4 linked regions of the Saccharomyces cerevisiae S288C genome follow. Changing the gene in region 3 together with the main gene of any one other region gives a genetic interaction. Each region holds a gene or a part of one and is shown on either strand. Other genes may lie near its edges.

Evidence for each region.
Region 1: mutations in TIM18 (region 3) and DMO2 together harm fitness more than expected from each alone (negative genetic interaction), as found in Saccharomyces cerevisiae (3 studies listed by BioGRID, with this or other methods).
Region 2: mutations in TIM18 (region 3) and RCF1 together harm fitness more than expected from each alone (negative genetic interaction), as found in Saccharomyces cerevisiae (3 studies listed by BioGRID).
Region 4: mutations in TIM18 (region 3) and CBT1 together harm fitness more than expected from each alone (negative genetic interaction), as found in Saccharomyces cerevisiae (2 studies listed by BioGRID).

Annotation. Positions count from the first base shown.
Region 1 is NC_001136.10:173,723-176,256, forward strand, and holds DMO2 (Dmo2p), read right to left. Parts: upstream 867-2,534; coding exon 510-866; downstream 1-509. Other genes in the region: mitogen-activated protein kinase kinase STE7, read left to right, coding at 1-306; CMR1 (Cmr1p), read left to right, coding at 1,196-2,534.
Region 2 is NC_001145.3:214,500-217,414, reverse strand, and holds RCF1 (respiratory supercomplex assembly factor RCF1), read right to left. Parts: upstream 981-2,915; coding exon 501-980; downstream 1-500. Other genes in the region: USA1 (Usa1p), read right to left, coding at 1-53; NDC1 (Ndc1p), read right to left, coding at 1,259-2,915. UniProt on the Saccharomyces cerevisiae protein: Assembly factor that plays a role in the assembly of the respiratory chain supercomplexes (SCs) composed of ubiquinol-cytochrome c oxidoreductase (cytochrome b-c1 complex, complex III, CIII) and cytochrome c oxidase (complex IV, CIV).
Region 3 is NC_001147.6:874,162-877,157, forward strand, and holds TIM18 (Tim18p), read right to left. Parts: upstream 1,161-2,996; coding exon 582-1,160; downstream 1-581. Other genes in the region: MUM3 (Mum3p), read left to right, coding at 1,438-2,877. UniProt on the Saccharomyces cerevisiae protein: Component of the TIM22 complex, a complex that mediates the import and insertion of multi-pass transmembrane proteins into the mitochondrial inner membrane.
Region 4 is NC_001143.9:45,433-48,472, forward strand, and holds CBT1 (Cbt1p), read left to right. Parts: upstream 1-1,724; coding exon 1,725-2,540; downstream 2,541-3,040. Other genes in the region: ATP-binding cassette a-factor transporter STE6, read right to left, coding at 1-863; ER membrane complex subunit EMC3, read left to right, coding at 2,762-3,040. UniProt on the Saccharomyces cerevisiae protein: Involved in 5'-end processing of mitochondrial COB, 15S rRNA, and RPM1 transcript. May also have a role in 3'-end processing of the COB pre-mRNA.

The sequences.
Region 1 (2,534 bases), on a different chromosome or scaffold from region 3:
TTGGATTTGCTGCAACGTATTGTCAACGAGCCTTCACCAAGATTACCCAAAGACCGTATCTATTCCAAGGAAATGACAGATTTTGTCAATAGGTGTTGTATTAAGAATGAAAGGGAAAGGTCATCGATTCATGAATTGCTACATCATGATCTTATAATGAAATACGTATCACCGTCTAAAGATGATAAATTTAGACATTGGTGTAGAAAAATAAAATCTAAAATAAAGGAAGACAAGAGAATTAAAAGAGAAGCCTTGGACCGTGCCAAGTTAGAAAAGAAACAATCGGAAAGATCAACCCATTGAATGCATGCGATAACATTAGTTAGGAACATATTGCACTTTTTTTCACATCCCTTTCTCAAAGCTATATTCATATATATATAGACTCTCCTGATTATGTAAATCACAAACCAATTTTCTAATGTAACAATATTTTTAAAAATAATCATCAAAGTAGCACTTTATGTACAGAAAATTTCACGATTGAGAGAAGCTTGCGAATAATACTAGTTAGCCTGTGTTTCACCATCGTTACTTAATTTCTTATAGTTCTTATATTCTTTATTTTTATGCCACAACCAACCTTCGGTTCCTCTAACGAAACCGAAGGCGATTAATAACCCACCGAAGCTACGTAAAGTTACTTTCCACCATTGTGGGTTTCTTTTTTCAAATTCAGTCAGAGAAATGCCTCTTTTGGCTTCTTTTTTACCATACTTGAATGGTTTCCCAGATGCCAAGTATGAGCCAAATCCAACAGAAAACATAGTGCTCATGACTTGACAAGGAACGCAATCCATAGTCTCTTCTTTTTCCAGCTCCCTTTGTGGTGGAGGGTTGAACACTGCCAAAATATTACTCATTGTTTTTCACCACTTGCTGTTTCTCTCTAAGCGGTGTTTTGTTTCCTACTTGGTGGCACACAATGACTGTACTCGCTTTATATGCTCGTACCTTTTTTCAAAAGCCCATCGTTAATTTTTCACCCGAGGACCCCATATTACGCGTTTTTTGTTAATGTTCAATTTCTGACATGTTACAATTATAATAACGCCAAAAGAGGTAAATGTATATTTGAACAATTGTTAAAGAGAAGATAAAAACCCTTTAATCTTGCATTTGTCGTCAATAGTACACAATAGGCGATCTATTTTAGTACGGCAATTAAAAGAAAGCTGCTTTTCAGTCAAGAATGCCGGAATTAACAGAATTTCAGAAAAAACGTTTAGAGAACATCAAAAGGAATAACGATTTATTGAAAAAACTCCATTTGTCTGGAGTAGCATCTCAAATTAAGCACGAGGCTGGGGTGTTGGAAAAATCTAGAGCTCCTGCAAAAAAGAAACAAAAAACAACTAATACCAGAGCAACCAAGTCTGCGAGTCCCACTTTACCTACACGAAGATCAAGAAGGCTAAGGGGTGAGTCTGCAGACGATGTGAAAGGAATACCCAATGTGAACGATAATCAGTTGCTTAAAATGGGTTCTCCAGATGGCCAGGATAAGAATTTTATAGACGCAATAAAGGAGAAACCTGTAATAGGAGATGTGAAATTAAGTGATCTGATCAAGGATGAAGACGAAAGTGCCCTTTTAGAGAAATTCAAGAGGTTTAATAACGGAAACTTTTCTTCTGGTGATTTCTTTGAAGAAATAAAAAAGAGACAGGGTGACGTTACGGGGATGGACGAATTTGATTTGGATCTATATGACGTTTTTCAACCGAACGAAATTAAGATTACATACGAAAGAATCTCTGCCACTTACTTCCATCCTGCTATGGAAAAAAAGCTAATAATTGCAGGTGATACAAGCGGTACTGTGGGTTTTTGGAACGTTAGAGATGAACCACTAGCTGACAGCGAAGAGGACCGAATGGAAGAACCCGATATCACCAGAGTGAAACTATTTACCAAAAACGTCGGCCGTATTGATTGCTTCCCTGCGGACACATCGAAGATATTGCTCACCTCTTACGACGGAAGCATCAGGTCAGTTCACTTGAATAACTTACAGAGTGAAGAGGTTCTCACCTTGAAAAATGAATATGACGATTCACTGGGTATCAGCGATTGCCAGTTTAGCTACGAAAACCCAAATGTTTTATTCCTCACCACATTAGGTGGTGAATTCACCACGTTTGACACAAGAGTAAAAAAATCAGAGTATAATCTGCGAAGACTCGCAGACAAGAAGATCGGGTCTATGGCAATAAATCCCATGAGACCCTACGAGATTGCCACCGGATCACTTGATAGAACACTCAAAATCTGGGATACAAGAAACCTTGTTAAAAAGCCAGAGTGGTCACAATATGAAGACTATCCCAGTCATGAAATTGTCTCCACATATGACTCAAGATTGAGCGTCTCTGCAGTTTCTTACTCACCGACAGATGGCACCTTAGTGTGCAATGGCTATGACGATACCATCCGCTTATTCGATGTCAAGAGTAGGGATCACCTTTCTGCGAAGTTGGAGCCCAAACTAACGATTCAGCACAATTGCCAAACAGGAAGATGGACAAGCA
Region 2 (2,915 bases), on a different chromosome or scaffold from region 3:
TCGCTTGACCATATAGTAAATTTGCAGGGCGTCTGAGCTAGATATTCAGACATGTTGCGTATTTGGTGAAGGGTGTATATGACACTTTATATAGCCGCTTAAGATGGTACAATAAAGTGTTTATCTGAAGTACGTCACCTTGCAATTGAATATTTGGTGGATTCTCTCTGTTTCAATTTTTCTGAAAATTGTACCGATCGTTAGCTGGCAATTACCGTTACGTATGTGTCAAGCAAAAAAAAACCCACATATTAAAAATCAAGTAAATAGAGCGATTGATATAGCATTTACCTATCGATATAAATATGTTTTAAGTGATAGTTATACAAGATAAAAACAAAGAATATTCATATGTACGCTGTTATTTTGTAATTATTTTTCTTGAATACTGGACATAGCATCATGAATTTTTTTATTACATTTCTTCATTACAGTCGAAATTAGCTGTTCATTCTTTTGTCTCTCATCATAATTTATTTACAGCAAATCGAAGAGCCAAATTACTTCTTTCCAAGCTTATTTTCCAGGTCGCTTAGTTCCTTTTCTAAGTTCTTGATTTCCTCTTCGTTCTCAAGGGTCTTCATTCTTGCCAATTCGGCTCTTTTTCTCCTTGCCTCCGTTTCTTCCTCCCTTCTCTCCAGCTCTTGGATCCATAACTTTTCTCTCATCTTGGCTTTCTCCTTCAATTGTTCCTCCTTCGCCTTCAGTTCCTTACCAGAAGTCCCATAGATAAATGAACCTGCGACTAGTGCGACTAGTGTGGCCGCTTGTAGACCCACACGCCAACGGAAGTAGTACTGAGCTTTCCATTTATTACCAAGACGAACATTTTGAGCAGCCAGAATGACAGCTCCTGTAGTCAGCAAGCACCCAATGGGTACCAATGGCTGTTTCTTACAATGGTATATAATCCTTTCGCCAAAGGTCATATCATCCAAATCCCTCTCCGTAACATCGAAACTAGATGGCATGCGTGACATCTTGAACGTATAACTGTGATGTTATCGCTTCTAGTACCAGGAATTGAATTAATTCCGATAGGAAGCATTGCTTCCTCTTCTCTATACTTTTCTTTACTATTATTCTTGAAGCATAAAAGGGCCCTCCTTGATTCGCTACCCGGAAACGATAAAGGTAGCTTTTTGCTCTTTTTGCTCATATTAGGCCTCTACTAAAGCATTTGTGCGGTATTCCAATTTTTATTATTGTATTTATCTTACATGAAATGGGAGGAGGGGTGCTCCTCGGTTGAATTGTATTACGTAGCATTAGGGTTGCCTGAGGCGTACACTTCTAGAAACCAGTTCGCCAACTTGGCCACGTCTGCATCCAAATATACGTCGTTCAGAGCAACATTGTATTCAAGTACAATCTCCATAAAAGCACTGGTGGACAGCTGATAAAGAACACTGATCATGTCAGTAGTGTCTTTCATGCTATCTTCGTCTTCACTGTCTTGTTGTACTCTATCTTGGGCTGTCCTTTGTGTTTGGAAGGCAGTGTATGCCATCGATTCCGGATCCCAATCGGCAAATTCACCCAGTGCACAGATGGACCTCTCCAAAGTCTTAAGAATATCCCCAACGGATGCAATGATACCGCCTTTTGGATCTTCTGTCTTTGATCGGATCAGCAGTCCTGTCAGTGCTACCACACTATTTGCGTGGCATATGGGCAATGGAACCAGCTTCTCAGCTTGCCTTTTCTTGGAAATGGACCATATGTCAATTATCGAGATTTGGGCTTTGTTGGAGCCATTTGGTAATAGTCTGTAATTGTCGCTTTCATCAGATGATTGTCTTTCTGCGTAGGAAGGGAAAATAAACGACATTATAGAATTTTTCAGTTTTTTTAACATCAGACGCATAGCGGTCATAAATGTTGTTTCGTGGGTGAAAATAGAGCCGTTAAAAGTTTGTGTCGTTTCATCTAAATCGTTGTCGTAATACGAGGACCTATGCCTTTTCTTGTTTCCGCGGTTAAGCAATACACTATCGTCAGTTCTTACCCTCAGCCTGTTTGGTGATTCATCTAATAAGCCGTTATCCCGTAATGGCGCCATCATAGAGGGTCGGTTCCCAAAGAGTCTTTCGTTGGCGCTTGTTAGTTTCCCGTTCTCATACATATAATCTAGATTTTCTACTTTTTTTTTATGTCTAGCAGTTGCAGAGCCCCCAAGATCTTGTACTGATCTTAGGTACTGCACAACCTTTTCATTGTTTATCTGAATGGTCTTCAAGCATTCATTGAGGATTAATGACCAAGTATTACCACTACTGCTTCTGAACTTGGAGTGATATATTGGTGCTCGCAATGATGGATCCAGTGAAGTGGCCCTATACGCTAGTTCCTGGTAGGCAGTCAACCTAGTAAATGGCTTGTCTGCAGAAAGCCCACTAAGCAGGGTTTCCATCGGCGTCGACGACAAATTCGAAATTAGCTTGCCCTTGTGCAGACAACCTATGGACATATGTGCGTCAAATGCTATATTTATGAATTCGAAAGTGATGAAGATAATGCAGGAGATTATTAGTAAATTTGTGACAGCTAGCACGCCATTCGTAAATGAATCAAATAATCCCGATTTTTGCCTGGAAAAAAATACTGTGGTAAAGATTGGTAATACGAACATGCTGATTACACTTAGAATGACTGACTTCTCCATAATCCTCTTGACACGCTCTAATACGTAGTCTTGTGGGGCCTGGAAAAAGTTTTCGCAGTTGAACGACAATTTGTCAGCGTCAGTGACATGATGTTGTAGGTTGTAAATCGTGGGAACGACTAGCCAAATAAACAGCTTATAGTATGGCTTCCATCCAGATCCGCCACGTCCGAAAACCACACCCAGTACGAATGATAAAAGGATGCTGCCCATGCTATAGACTCCCTGGTATACAAGAAACTTTACTGAT
Region 3 (2,996 bases):
GTTTATTATAAGAATCATAGTTTTATGGACAAGTTTTCCGTTTAGCATTTATACCCATATAGTAAAAAGTTTCGCAGATAGTGCGATAGTTGTATTCTGATTGCCTTATTATTATTTCACTAATTCTTTATTCACGTAGAGCATGACACTTTTTTTATGTGTTTCCTTTTGATTGTGAAATAAAGGCGAATCCTAACAAATATTAAAATGTTTCAATACATTGATAAAAATTGTAAACATTATTTTTTTGTAGTATAAAAATTCGTTCCTCATCATTAAAGAAACAAAAAGCATACAGATAATAATAAAAAAGGCACTTTAGACAGAATGAGAATACTAGCAATCACGAATTCCTACTTTTCCTTTCTGTATCCCTAGGCGTTTCACTCGACAAGAATTGATCGTCTTGTACCAATCCAAGCAGATCGATATATACATATATATCTGGATTTCGAGAAGAAGGATATATTTTATTGCTTATTTGTCTTTTTATAAAATCTCTCCTAAGTTAAGTTCATGGGGAATCTGACTCTAAAAATGAAATCTTAGAAATGCAAAAAAAAAGAAAAAGTATGGGTGAGTCAGTTTCTTCCAAATATATACAAATGGTCATCATTTTCATTCCAAAGTTTCTTTACCAGGTCAACAAAACCATTATTTTTCGTTTCCAATTCGTAGATACCGTACAGGGACAACATGGATCCTCCATAGAGGCAATAAAGGGCGAGCTTATGCCATCTTGGATACTTTTCCTTCGGTATATAGTCAATAATACAACTTGTGAAGCCATACTGTAAATATATCAAAAAAATGGACGATAAAGACGCATCGAGTAAAGGATTTATAACCCCGCCGGTAAAGGAGGCATAAAAAGGTACCATTGTTAATGGAATCAAAGTATATTTTGCTATTCTCTCATAGTCTTTTTGATAAGAGTCCTTAAATTGAGAGAACTCTGGGGGCTTAAACATCTGCACTGAAGAGGATGCCTCTTTTGACGTATTTGCAATATCGTTTATTTTATTTTCAGCATTTAAACGATTAATGCTATAAAAGGATCTTTTGGTTGAAAGTACTAATCCTGGAAAAACAGCTCGTACAGGATTTACAATGACAGTGGAAGCATTAAGAACAGGCTTCAAGCCAGGAAACAATAGCATTACCAAAGGTATTAAATTACTCAGTTGTTGCACCTCGCATCACCGTTAATTAATGTGTGCATTCCACTGTCTGGAAGTTTTCATTTTTATCCGATCTTTTGCGAGAATGGTTTGTTTTTCAAAAAAACCGAGTGTCAACAAGGCATGTAGCGACACAAAATGAAAAATTGAAAGTTAACAGGGCAAGATATGCACCATAATAGATTCATTGTTAATCTTAATCAAATAAAATTTCTCTTTTCCACACAGAAAACTAAACGAAAGGTATAACTTTAAGATGGGTTTTGTTGATTTCTTCGAAACATATATGGTCGGTTCTAGGGTCCAGTTCAAACAGTTAGATATTTCTGATTGGTTGAGTCTGACCCCAAGGTTGCTTATTCTTTTTGGCTATTTTTACCTTCATTCTTTTTTTACTGCAATCAATCAATTCCTACAGTTCATTAACACGAATTCCTTCTGTCTTAGACTGCATTTACTATATGACAGATTTTGGTCGCATGTGCCCATAATAGGTGAGTACAAAATTCGGCTGCTCTCGAGGGCACTGACATATAGTAAACTGAAAATAATACCAACTTTAGACAAGGTGCTGGAGGCGATTGAAATTTGGTTTCAGCTACATTTAGTTGAAATGACCTTCGAAAAAAAAAAAAACGTCCAAATTTTCATAACCGAGGGAAGTGATGACCTAAACTTTTTTAAAGATAGCAAATTCCAAACCACATTAATGATATGTAATCATCGATCAGTGAATGACTACACATTGATTAATTACCTTTTTCTCAAAAGTTGTCCCACCAAGTTTTATACTAAATGGGAATTTCTACAAAAGCTGAGGAAGGGGGAAGATCTAGCTGAATGGCCTCAGTTAAAATTTCTTGGTTGGGGAAAAATGTTTAACTTTCCTCGATTGGATCTACTAAAGAACATATTCTTCAAAGATGAAACACTCGCACTCTCATCGAATGAGTTAAGAGATATTTTAGAAAGACAAAACAATCAAGCTATTACTATTTTTCCCGAAGTCAATATCATGAGTTTGGAACTATCAATTATTCAAAGAAAATTACACCAAGATTTTCCCTTTGTTATAAACTTCTATAATTTATTATACCCAAGATTTAAAAACTTTACCACTTTGATGGCTGCTTTTTCATCAATTAAAAACATCAAAAGAAAGAAAAACCGTAACAATATAATCAAAGAGGCCCGATACCTGTTTCACAGAGAACTTGACAAATTAGTTCACAAGAGCATGAAAATGGAGTCTTCCAAGGTATCCGATAAGACGACGCCGCCCATGATCGTAGATAATTCATACTTACTTACAAAAAAGGAAGAAATCAGCAGCGGCAAGCCCAAGGTGGTACGAATCAATCCATACATATATGATGTCACCATAATTTATTACCGAGTCAAATATACTGATAGTGGGCATGATCATACCAACGGAGATTTGAGACTTCATAAAGGTTATCAATTAGAGCAAATATCTCCGACAATCTTTGAGATGATTCAACCAGAAATGGAGTCTGAAAACAACATAAAGGATAAGGACCCCATTGTTGTGATGGTAAATGTAAAAAAGCATCAAATTCAACCATTACTCGCATACAATGATGAGAGTTTAGAAAAGTGGCTTGAAAATAGGTGGATAGAAAAAGATAGATTAATCGAGTCCTTGCAAAAAAATATTAAAATTGAGACCAAATAAAGATCCTGAATCATAATATATACGTGTGTACTTCACTTTCTATAGAGGAAAAAAAGCTAAAAAAAAAAAAAAATGATAAAATAAACGAAAAAAACCATAAAACGATCATGATAGAATAA
Region 4 (3,040 bases), on a different chromosome or scaffold from region 3:
AGCTTGCCCTTTTTGATCATTGCGGAACCAAACCAGAATCCCTGTACAAACATAGTCAACGTCAAAAATCTCAAGATCCCAGCGTTTGCAGCAACAAAAAAGCAACTCTTGATGAAGAAAGTGTTACAATTTAGTATGATTTCCTTGAATTTTTTCCTTTCTAGACGTTGTGTACAATATAATCTCACTAATTGAGCGGCATTCATCGACCATGTAAGTAATTGGGCTGCTTTACTCGTTTCAGAATTCTCCTTCTCTGAATATACATGAATCATTCTGGAAAACACCACTGCAAAAAATGTGATTATTGGAGAGCTGCAAAGAATAATTAAAGTTAATGACCAAGAATAGTAGAATGACGTCCCCAGAAGCGCACATATTGCAACTAAATTCTGGAAAGTTATGGCTGATGCCTCTGCGGAGCTTGATCTTAGCTCTTCCACACATCTGTTGATTTGAGTAAAATCTCCTAACAATTTTTCATTATTGTCGTACCATTCCATTGGCTTTTCCTCCAAATATGCCTCCAATATCTGTGACCGTATTCTAAAGCCTTGTCTCTCGCCGATGTGCATCCAACTTGTTAGAGAAAGCCACATTACTGGCACAGAAGCCGCACCAAGTGCCATTACTGCCATTGACCTCTGTACTAGTTGGGAATACAAACCTTGATGTGACCCATTAGCCACGAAAACTGATAGTAGATCGAACACTCTGCCCGTCAGGATAGAAGTAATTGCCGGCACTAGGCCTGTTGCCACGGTACCTATTATCATTATCATTAACAGCCTGTAGTCATTCCGTATGTTCACGTACCTGAAAATGTGATAGTGTTTTGTAGTCTTAAAACTTAAAAAGTTCATGACGTAGCTTGTTCTTTGTTTCCTAGTGGAATTTTCAGCGGCACTTGAAAGCTCTCTGTGTGAACGTAACAACGGGAGATAGTTCAGCCATATCCAGGTTTATAAGCTCTGGTATTTAAATGATGAACGGCAATAATGCAACAGTTTTCATATCTGAAACAATTGTATATGTGCGAAGCAGCGTGTAAATTTCCCTATTAGGTAATTACATGGCAAAAAAAATAAGAAACTATTTTCTTAAAGTACCTTTACCCTTTGTGGAAAACAATAAATTGTATAGTGGCAGAATAGAGAAAAGAAAAAGGAAAGGAACATATTTGTCAGTGCAAGGACCATCATTGTTTGAAAAAAGAGAGGATATTACTAGTAGGTAATAACAGCTATGTCGCGTTATATATATTATATATAAAAATTAAAAAATAGAAAATAAAATTTCAAATGCCCTCTGTGGGAATTGAACCCACGATCCCCGCATTACGAGTGCGATGCCTTACCACTTGGCCAAAAGGGCTGAGTAATTTTTATACCTGCTAAATTTGTGGCTCCGCTATACTTTACAGATTTATCTATTTTGAAGATGATACATTTAGCAAAAATGACCTTAAAAATGAAGCAGGTGCCATTTGCCTATAGCTTGGAAAAGTAGTAATGGTTATTCAAAAAGTTAGCAGCGAGATCTTTTTTCTATCGCGCGTTAAAACGTTTGAACAGATATATATTATTCAGCCACAACTATCTATATATAATATTTCTTCGATTTTTCGTTTTCTCAAGTTTCGTCTTATTGATTGATCAGAAGTTTACTGCGCTTTTGGGTAAAGAAGCATTAAACAAAGGAGAGAGAAATATTGCAAGGAAAAAATGGTGAGCTATGGAAGTCATAGTAGTGAGGTTTCGAAAGTTCTTAAAACGCCGAAGTTTGTGCTTAGGTATGGAAATGTATCCAGCAAACAACGTTTTGCCCTAAAGCGGAAGATAAATTACAAACTACGTGAAAGCAAATATCAAGAATACTTGAATGAATACAACACCTTCGTGCTTTACGACTGGGAAAACAGTGGCGCTGGTAGTCTTGTCGATTCTTCCTACAATCTCCCCTCTTTATGGAAGGAATTCATAACAGAGGGCATATCTAAAGGAGCAATAAACGACAAACTACCGACAGTCTTTATGAAGAGGAAGTTGACAAACTCAGCGTTGGGTCACTGTTTGGGACTTGATTTCCTGACTGATCCGAGCGAGTCAGAACATGAATACAGGTGCATGTTTCAGACAGTTCAGGACATCCCATCTCTCTCGCAACTGATCTTATTCAACAGCATGCCAAACGTTCCAGTAAGATTGAAATTGCATACCATTGGTATAAATATAAATTTCGGCTGCAAACGTTCCCTGATAAGCAACGGTGGTGATCAAGACACTGAAATGAGCGAAGCAGTCTCTTATATCCAGCCTTTATTGGAAGAATCCTCGAGAATGTACCGCAATTTAAACTACTGGAAGCTGTTAAAAATAGCACGAAATAACAAGAAGGATGAACCGTTGGATCAGAGCACGCGTATCAAGTCGCAAGTTAAGCTTTTACTGAGTCAATTGGCGACGAACCGAATTACCTCACCTTCCGTCACGGATCATGGGGGTCACAACTGGCTCATATTCACCAGAAGACGGTTGTAAACGATAAATATGCCATAAAGATCTGCGAACTGTACATATCCATATATAATGCGTATTATTTGGTGACTATAGCACTGGCTTCCGCCATCTCACTAAGAACGAAGAGGTATAATAAAGCATTGTGATGTTAAAGAATGACGATTAACCAGCATTTACAACAACTTCTCTTCAACAGAATAGACAAAACAACAAGCAGTATTCAACAAGCTAGGGCGCCGCAGATGTTATTAGATGACCAGCTGAAGTATTGGGTCCTGTTACCTATTTCGATTGTCATGGTTTTGACGGGTGTACTCAAACAGTACATCATGACACTTATAACGGGAAGCAGTGCAAATGAAGCACAACCAAGGGTAAAGTTAACTGAATGGCAATATCTACAATGGGCACAATTATTGATTGGAAACGGTGGGAACCTGTCTTCCGATGCATTTGCTGCGAAGAAGGAATTTCTAGTTAAGGATCTCACTGAGGAAAGGCACCTAGCCAAGGCCAAGCAG